2 linked regions of the Saccharomyces cerevisiae S288C genome follow. The protein of the gene in region 2 binds, or shares a complex with, the protein of the main gene of each other region. Each region holds a gene or a part of one and is shown on either strand. Other genes may lie near its edges.

What was found. Proteins that work in one complex are often made in the same cells at the same time.
Region 1: RPL1B (region 2) and RPL36B share a complex: the UniProt entries of both Saccharomyces cerevisiae proteins name them as parts of the large ribosomal subunit.

The regions. Positions count from the first base shown.
Region 1 is NC_001148.4:73,796-78,174, forward strand, and holds RPL36B (60S ribosomal protein eL36 RPL36B), read right to left. Parts: upstream 2,445-4,379; coding exon 2,429-2,444; intron 2,191-2,428; coding exon 1,904-2,190; downstream 1-1,903. Other genes in the region: YAH1 (adrenodoxin), read right to left, coding at 1-86; ATG41 (Atg41p), read right to left, coding at 514-924; GTPase-activating protein GYP5, read right to left, coding at 2,874-4,379. UniProt on the Saccharomyces cerevisiae protein: Component of the ribosome, a large ribonucleoprotein complex responsible for the synthesis of proteins in the cell.
Region 2 is NC_001139.9:252,696-257,323, reverse strand, and holds RPL1B (60S ribosomal protein uL1 RPL1B), read right to left. Parts: upstream 2,684-4,628; coding exon 2,030-2,683; downstream 1-2,029. Other genes in the region: PCL10 (Pcl10p), read right to left, coding at 360-1,661; MRM2 (21S rRNA (uridine2791-2'-O) methyltransferase), read left to right, coding at 3,465-4,427; SEC27 (coatomer subunit beta'), read right to left, coding at 4,586-4,628. UniProt on the Saccharomyces cerevisiae protein: Component of the ribosome, a large ribonucleoprotein complex responsible for the synthesis of proteins in the cell.

The DNA of each region.
Region 1 (4,379 bases), on a different chromosome or scaffold from region 2:
AGCAGAGATGGAGAGGTGCGTAAAAGATGTGCTGCGATGTTCGATATTCTAGCTGTGTGTCCAGCCCGAGTAACAATTTTCAGCATTGGGGGCGGGTTGAGTATAGATACGAGAAGCGCCTATTTCGTATGAGGTTTTTTTTTTCTATTATTATGTATATTAGGCATATATATACATATATATATTTTGCATACATATTCATTTTTAAAAAAATGCAACTGCTACACGCTTTGAAAGATTCAATGAAAAGTTTTTCCGACGACCAGAATTGGCTAGCAAAAAAACGAAAATGTAATGGAGTCATGCAAACATGACTAATAGTAACAAAAAAAAAAGATATAGTAGAATTGAGTAAGTAAGTTCTATGTATATTGTTGTTATTTTCTCTAAAAAAAAAAAAAAACTATGTAAAATTAGGAATTAAGAATATGCTTGGAAGGAATGCCGATTTAAAATGTGTAGGATATGCGATGCAAGGGGTCGTGAGAACAAGTAGAGATGTGGTAAAATGCGTCATACCGATGACAACCACAGTCTGTAGTTCTGTTGTGCGACATTGGCAAAGGCATCGTTACTTGCAAAGGCAAACCCAGAGGCAGAGTTAGATTCCTTACTAGCAGCAGCAACTGCACTGGCGGCGTTGCCGTTAAATTCCATATCGAACATGCAATCGTCTTCAGTACTCGTTATTATGTTGCTGTCCGTCTTATCTTTAGTGTGCGTGCATTCTGACTCATCGACAATCGGGTACGATAGCGGAAAAGTTAGCAATTCTTGCTGGTAAGATTGAGAAAAGTCATCGGCATAAGTCGATCTGTCCGGGCTATGCGAGAGCATAGGGGGCTCGAAAGCAACGTTTGAAAACGAAAGAGGGAAGACCTCGTCTTCATAGCGCGAGATGGGGGAAGATTCCACAGAGGACATTGTAAATAATTGTAATTGTATATTATTGTGTGTAAGTTTGGTTGGTTTGGTGTAGCCAATTTAGTTTGGTTTTCTCAAGAATAAAACAAGTAAGAAAGAAAGAGAGTTGCTCCAGACCCTTTCCGAAATCAAGATGAGTCCTGTTCTTATATATACCTTTTTACGCAGAGCCGCTTCTTTATGCACCGTGGAGTAATTACCGAATTGCAAAACCACCCGGGTGTGGATGTGGATGCAAAATAACAGTGAAATGAGTAATAACAATGGTCATAAACATGTGGTGTGCAATGTGTCATCTTCGCGCGCGTGCTAAAAAAAACGAATAACGGTGGTGATCCCGCGGCTTTCCACACTGACGGGGTCACGTGTGTTTATTCTGTTTTCTTCTAACGGCTTCTGTAGATTTCCGGACGGTTCCACGCAGCGCCACAGCTTGGTTCCAGATCGACGGAAGAGAACGTGCAACCCTTTGGGCTGGTTATGAAACAACGCAGATGGAGAATATGGCTCACAACCCCAAGGGACTTCTTGGTTTGGTTTTGTTTACAGTTTTTTGCTTGGCAAAGGTGCCATCGTTTGTCATGATAGCATGACGGTAGCAGGCATCATTGATTTTGCAACTGTTGCGGACCAGGACAGTGGGTATGGTGTAACTTCTGTAACACACCCACAAATGTGGTTGAGTCTCTAATGGAGATGAGTGAGTGGGCGAGCCAGGATAGGGTCTTTGGCATGTGCGGTGCTTACCCGGAAGGGAGATGCGCACGTGACTGTTGAAAAAGGGAAAAGCAGAGGTAATGAATGACGAAGTCGGTTCATTGCATGTGCTGTTACACTTCTTAAATAGATATCGATTAAGAATTACTATAATGATTTGTTACTTATTTTTTATTAACTAGCTTTGGGGGAGAGCCATGGAAAATAGCACTCGGTCTTGTGGCGGAGTTGGATTTGCTTGACTGTGGCCCCCTCACGCTGTTTAATGACGACGAGAGGCAGCAATGATGTTGTTCATTTCTTCGACCTTAGCCTTGGCTCTGGTGAAAGAACCCAATCTCTTCTTGGCGACCTTTCTGGCTCTCTTTTCACCGGAGTTTCTGATCAAATCGATCAATCTTCTTTCATATGGGGACAAACCGGCGATTTCTCTAACCAAAGATCTGACGAACTTGGTTCTGTTGGAGGCAGCACCCTTCTTGTAGGAGATCTTTGGGGCTGGAGTCATTTGGGTGACTTTCTTACCCTTGTTCAAACCAATAGCGATACCTAGAGGAAAAAAATAGAATATCTTATGTTAGTAACAAGCACACTAGTACTCACGTAGTATACGAGCAAAATAAATAAACAAAGACTCCACGGAGTACTGCAACGCTGGGTGCAGGATATAAACGATGTTTGCATATCTCTGGAGCTTAATCTCATCCTGTTTGTATTTCTGTTGTTGGCTTAGTGGTTCAGTTCATTTTGCTTTTGCTCTACAGTTCATTAGTTCAGGTAAACATACCAGTCTTGACAGCCATTTTGTATTATCCTTGCTTCTCTATTCTGTTTTGACTATGGTAATACACGAACTTAAGACTTAACGCTAATTAAAACGAATATTCAAGAAATGCAATGATGTGCCTCTTCCTCTGCCTCTCTCTCTCTCTCTCTCCTAGTGCATTCATGCTAGCTTCCCTCGTCGGGCTTCCCTGAACAGCCTTGGTTGGCAACCCAATGAAAAAGTTCCGCGCACGCGGTATGTGCGTCTTTCGCAACCAGACCTCTCGGTCATGGTCGTCTCCCGCACGGTAAAGCGGAAACAAAAACCCAACACATCCGTGGATGTACGGGTGAAAATACAGTCAAAAAAAAAACAACAACAACAACATTGTCTAAACGAGTCGTGATGCATTTTTTAACACAAATTGGAGAGGCACACAATGTGCACACAGCGCAAAACTATACATCTATTTAAAAACTTTTTTAAAACCAGTCCAGCCTTTCCTCCCTTTAGCCTTAGAATCTCGTTCCAATAACGATGCCGTGGACACTTGCTCCTTATTGATGTTAATCAACTCATCGATTTCCGCTTGCAGTTCAGTGATTCTTTCCTCTAATTGGCCGTTCTCCCTCATCACCTCATTGTTCCTGGATATGGTCCTTTCCAAGTCTTCTCTCAGATCTGCCTTTGGTAGTGACGCGTCCGGGTTCGGTAAATTTTGCTTGCGAATCTCTTCCTCAATTTGGCTTTTGATATCAGTGATTGTATTTATCAGGTCGTTTTTTTCATCCAACAGCATCTCCATATTCAATCTGTTCTGAATCAGCTCGTTAGCGGCGCTGATATTCTCTTTGTTCAAAATTGAATAGTCGTGTTCTAGCTTCTGCGCCTCTCTTTGTAGTTGGTGGTTTTGAATTCTTAGTGATTCGTAGTGGTCCTCTTTTTTTTGCTCTTTTTCATGGATTTCTACGTACTCTCCCCTGTATCTTCTTAATGTTAATGGTGTGATATATACACCTGTCATTGCATCATGAACGAAAAGATCGACATTGTAGGAAAAAGTGCCGTCATCATTGCCCTTAAATGAGTTCCCATTTGACAATCCCATTTGCACTACAGAAGCGTCATCCTGGTTTCCCATTAAATAGTAATTGAAGAGTTCGTCCTTTAAAAAATCCAATAGTTCATCGAATCTCAATTTTACTAAAGTTTCTTCATTCTTTAACATTAAATTTACAGCAAACTTCAAAAGCACTTCAATACCCTCTACGAATACAATATCAAAAATTCTTAACACAAACTCTAACGGAAACTTGTATGCGAAAAATGTCAAAAACCATTGTGTAGCGTACATTGTGGAGCTAATTCCCTCACGGATCAAGCGATTGTACAAAGAAGGTGAATGCTCCTCTAATAATCTATCAAATTGATAAAGCATTAACATCAGCCCAGGCATTCCTGGTAAGAAAAGCTCTCTTAATCCATAATTCTTCATTAATCCAACGAGTAGTCCAAAAGATTCGGCCTCGTTTTCACAGTTTATTAATAGCGGCGCTGCAATGAACCCCATGCCTTGCGTGTACCCAACATCTGGATCATAAACAGAATACACCTTTATTACCTTGTATAGTGACTCCATTTTGTCCTCGGCCACAAACTTCGTTCTCCTTAAATCTCTACGTATTGTTGCTTCATGAAGACATTCGGTATCCAATAGAGTTTCATATATATCTTCCATTTCTCTTGATTTGGAATTCGCCATCAGCTGCCAAATGATACCTCGAATTTGTGGTGGTATCCCATTGGTAACATGGGCTTCTAAATTTTCTGGTTCGTTGCTTGCCACTGTAGCATAATCATTAACTACTTGAGTCCAGAAGGACCAATCAATTTTAAACATTTCTCTATCTTCTTCATTAACATTCTCCACTTCGTTATACTCGGACAAGTTCTCCAGAAATGACGTAAATGT
Region 2 (4,628 bases):
TAAAACCATGAAATATTTCTATTTTAAGGTTAGACAATACAGAAGGGACAGAGAAAGATGTGTAGGCAAATATACATTTGTTTGAACCATAGATTCAACAGTAATTTAATGCGAGTAAAAAAATCACATTTTTATGTGCGTTTCGAGAGCATCAATTAAGAATCCGGGATAACTGTTGGGAAGCTCTGAAGTTTTCTCCAATATCGAGTACAGGTTTCCACCATTGCACGGAAATATAAACAGACTAAGTTTGTCGTTGTTTTATTGAGAAATTGTTTGTATCATATTACCAGTGCCGCTATTGACTGGAAAGCATTCGTTACGTTCGTTAAAATAATTATCTAAAATACTTGTATCAACTATACACAGAAGGACCGTAGTTCATTCAAAAGTAATTTGGAGGCGGCTAATTTCCTGTTACTGACCATTAATTTAGTATTGCACACACAGATCAATAGACTGACTTCTAATTTAGTCAAAAGCCGTTTCGAAATACCGCATACTTTACTAAAATATTCATGTGAGTGAACGAAATCTTCCAATAATTTCGTGCTCAATCTAACCGCTGCTATTATCATTCGATGGACCTCCTTTTCCTGTAAGTTTAACTTCAACTGCAAAATGTTATTGCCATCCCTTGTTAAAAACAACGTGTCAATTAAAAATGTTGCCACAAGGTAAACAGTTGGCTGGTACTCACATTTGTCTTGGATTCTCTTGAGAAAATCTGCTGATGATAAGGTGGGTTTACTTTTCATGTAGAAATTCGAGTATTCTTTTTTCTCCACTCTAGTATTGAAACCGGTACACTTTCTATTGCCACTAAGTTTTAGTAGTAGTTCTATGGTTTCCTTGAAATTCGCCAGAGCTTCATCAACCGATATGTGGGGCACTTCTACATCAACCGGTATGCCATGTAGCAACGGGTTTTCACTTTCGGACTTAGTTTTTTCTTGATCTTCTTCTTCATCGTGTGGTAGACTGATATGCAACCCTCCCATATCAAAGCTTGTAATGCTGCTACATTCAGAAAAAATGGAGTCATCAATATCTTGCTCCTCCACATCCGTAGCATCGCCAATTTCGAAACTGGCAGTTGGAGATTTGAAGAGTGGTGATCTACGGCGAGGTATGCTTAGCCCGTTTTGTTGATGGAAAAGATCTTTATCAAAAATAGAACTTGTGCAACCCGTGGTATCCTCTAGCTCATCATCACTTAGTTCAAAATTGGACGTTGAGCTAAAATTAGTGCCATTAATACACGCGCTCGAATCATCACCCATGGAACTATATAATCCTTTCCCTCCATTCAATAGCCCCACCTGAAAATTGTTTATGTTCTCTATATTCTGCGCCAAATAATTATTCATTTCATTAGCGGATTCCAACAGTTGCTCTACATGTATTCTATTTTTTGAACTATCTGTTGTACCGCATGGCTGTGCTTTCTCAGTCTTGCCTTCTGCAAGACCAGGCGTATTTGATCTAGACTGGTCCCATTCACTTGTTAAATCTGAGAAATTCTCACTCTGTAAAAACTTTGGTTTCAAAGGTAATTCGAACGAAGCGTTATAATCGTCCACAATTCCCAAACTGACTGGACGTATATCACCATCATCAAACTCCTCTGTGTCAGTGGTGTGGTTTTTAGTCATGTCCATTTTGCAAGTAATCTATTTGCGCATGGAATACCTATATTATGCGAGTCGAAGATTATATAATAGCAGGTATGGTTGAACTGATTGAACACCAAAGCATATCGATCTGTGAAATTCACTCAACATGCTTTTAAAGTAAGGCAAGTTCTAAGTGATTTCCTACAAAACATCGCTGAGAAAGGAAAGAAAAATGGCATGATATGGAGTAAGAATCGGATCGGTGCAATATACTCCGAGCTTCCCGAAAAGATATATTCCGGGCCCAAAAATATCTGGCTAAAACTATGCATAATACTTTTACTACTTAGAGTCATACGTATTAAAAAAGGTATTTAAAAAGATGGAGATATGTATTAATCGCTCGGAAGTGATTAGTACAATCTGAAAGCTGGACCCATGGAGGACTTAACAACCAAGGAACCAACATTTTGCCAGTTCTTCTTCAACAAAGAAACAAAGAAGTTAACAGACATCAAGATTTGGTTAACCAAAACGTCTTCTTCCATTTCAACGTTACCAACGGCAACAGCCAAACACAAGACCTTCTTCAATTGGAACTTGATGGTAGATCTGACATCAGTGACCTTACCGTACAAGTCATCGTTGTGAGAAACTGGGGTTGGGAACTTACCAGCCTTGGACAATTGAGGACCCAATAGTCTTGGAACTTGCTTGATCAAAACTTCGGAAGCAATGAAAGCGTTGTACTTCTTAGACAACTTCTTGATTAACTTCTTGTTCTTGTTCAACTTCTTCAAGTCATCGACGGACATAGCGTCAACACCGCAAGACTTAGCTCTGTCAACATCGAAAGCATCACCGAAGATACAGATGGACATGTTTGGTCTTGGACAGTTTGGCAACTTCAAAGAACCAGAGAAACGCTTGTCTCTTTGAGGGTCATAGTTCTTCAAACCGACTTGTAGTTCGACGGTTTCCAAGAAGTTTCTCTTCTTGGTTTCGTTGGAATACTTCAACAATTCCTTGACGTGTTCTCTGACTTGAGAAGAGGTGATCTTAGACATTTTATGATATGTAATTAGTCTTCCAAAGTATTTGGTGGTCCGTGAGGCTTGCGACTAGTTCTATGGAGTCTTTCCTGAAACTTCAAGAGGTTACCAAATAACGTAATGCTCAAGAAGTGCTGCGAAGATGTACTTACATATCTTAATCCAAATACAACACTCTTCCCATTGATTGCGTCTTTCTTCCTCGGACTTTCCAATCTGAGGCCAAAAGATGTCTATGGCATTATTGTGTGCGAAAAAAAAGTTTCAGGAAAAAAAAACTTTAAATATTTGAGGTTGCACCCGTGCATATTGAAAGATGTATGGGTTCAAAAATGTCCGTATTCAACTTTTGCCAAAAGCTGATAGCTGTTTGGCCTTATGAGGTAAGGTTTATGAACGCAGTCTTCTTCATTGCGATCTAAAAGTTGATATGTTAATGGAGATAATGGTAGAGTAAACTGAATTTTTTACAGTCCCCTTTCTTGAAATTAAGCAAGTTATTTAGCTAACTTACATACCATCTTCATGTATCGTTTTTGATTTTTCAGTTCTTTTTTAAAAAAGAAGATCAAGTAATTTGTTCTAATCAAAGAAGAAGGTTCAATACCGTTTCTCTGGTATTTGTAAGATCTCTTTTACTGGCGTTCTTTTAAAAATGATCAGGTCCGGTTAAAGGGCGTCTCCGTCAATGAGAGAAAAATGTCAGCCTCTGATATAGATGGAAGTCGTAGCCATCAAGATGGGCTTATCCGAGGTTTGAAGTAATGACTACACATACTGACGGGAAAATTACAGCATGATTTTAGTGTACAATCGTATCAGGAGTATAATATCGTCTTCTTTAGGTCGAATACATGTACGGTATAATTCTAACTCACAAAACAGATGGCTGAATAGACAACTGAAGGATCCCTACACAAAAGAGGCCAAGGTCCAAAATCTGAGGTCTAGAGCCGCATTCAAGCTTATGCAGATTGATGATAAATATCGGCTTTTTAGCAAAAACAGGACCGATCAGAGAATTCTAGATCTTGGGTATGCCCCTGGGGCTTGGTCCCAAGTAGCACGGCAAAGAAGTTCACCTAATTCAATGATACTGGGCGTTGACATTCTCCCTTGTGAACCTCCGCATGGTGTGAACTCTATTCAAGCTAATATATTGGCCAAAAGAACTCATGATCTTATACGGCTCTTTTTTTCTAAGCATTTCCAATTGAACAGACACGATGATTTGCATAAGGACCATGGCTATTTCCAGAACATGCTCGAGGAGGAGCTAACCCATGTGAAAGATACTGAATTGTACCGTGAAATTTTCACCTCTGATGACATTTATGAAACTCCGAATACGAATAGTACCCTAATAGAACGAGAAAAATTCCCAGTTGATGTGATTATAAGTGATATGTATGAACCCTGGCCCCAAACAACCGGTTTTTGGAACAACATTACTAATCAAGCTTATTTTAGGATGGCTAATACATCTGGTGTCAGTATAAGAGACCATTACCAATCTATTGATTTATGTGACGCAGCCTTAGTTACGGCTATAGATTTATTACGGCCATTAGGTTCGTTTGTTTGTAAACTATACACCGGCGAAGAAGAAAACCTATTTAAAAAAAGAATGCAGGCAGTTTTCACTAACGTTCATAAGTTCAAGCCTGACGCTTCTAGAGACGAATCAAAGGAGACCTATTATATCGGATTAAAGAAGAAAAGAAATGTAGATAAACTGGACGTGTTTAGTAATTCATAATATGATTTGTTTGCGCGCAAAGTTTCAAGTCACGTTCATTTTCACACCTATCGCAATAAAAATAAAAAGTGTACATCTGTATATATATATGTTTACCATCCATTAAAGATGTTTTCTCATTCGTTGATTAGTTCTTTATTTGTCTTTCTATGAGGTGGTTAACTCTCTTCTTCCACAGGCTCCGGCACTGCCTCTCCTTGC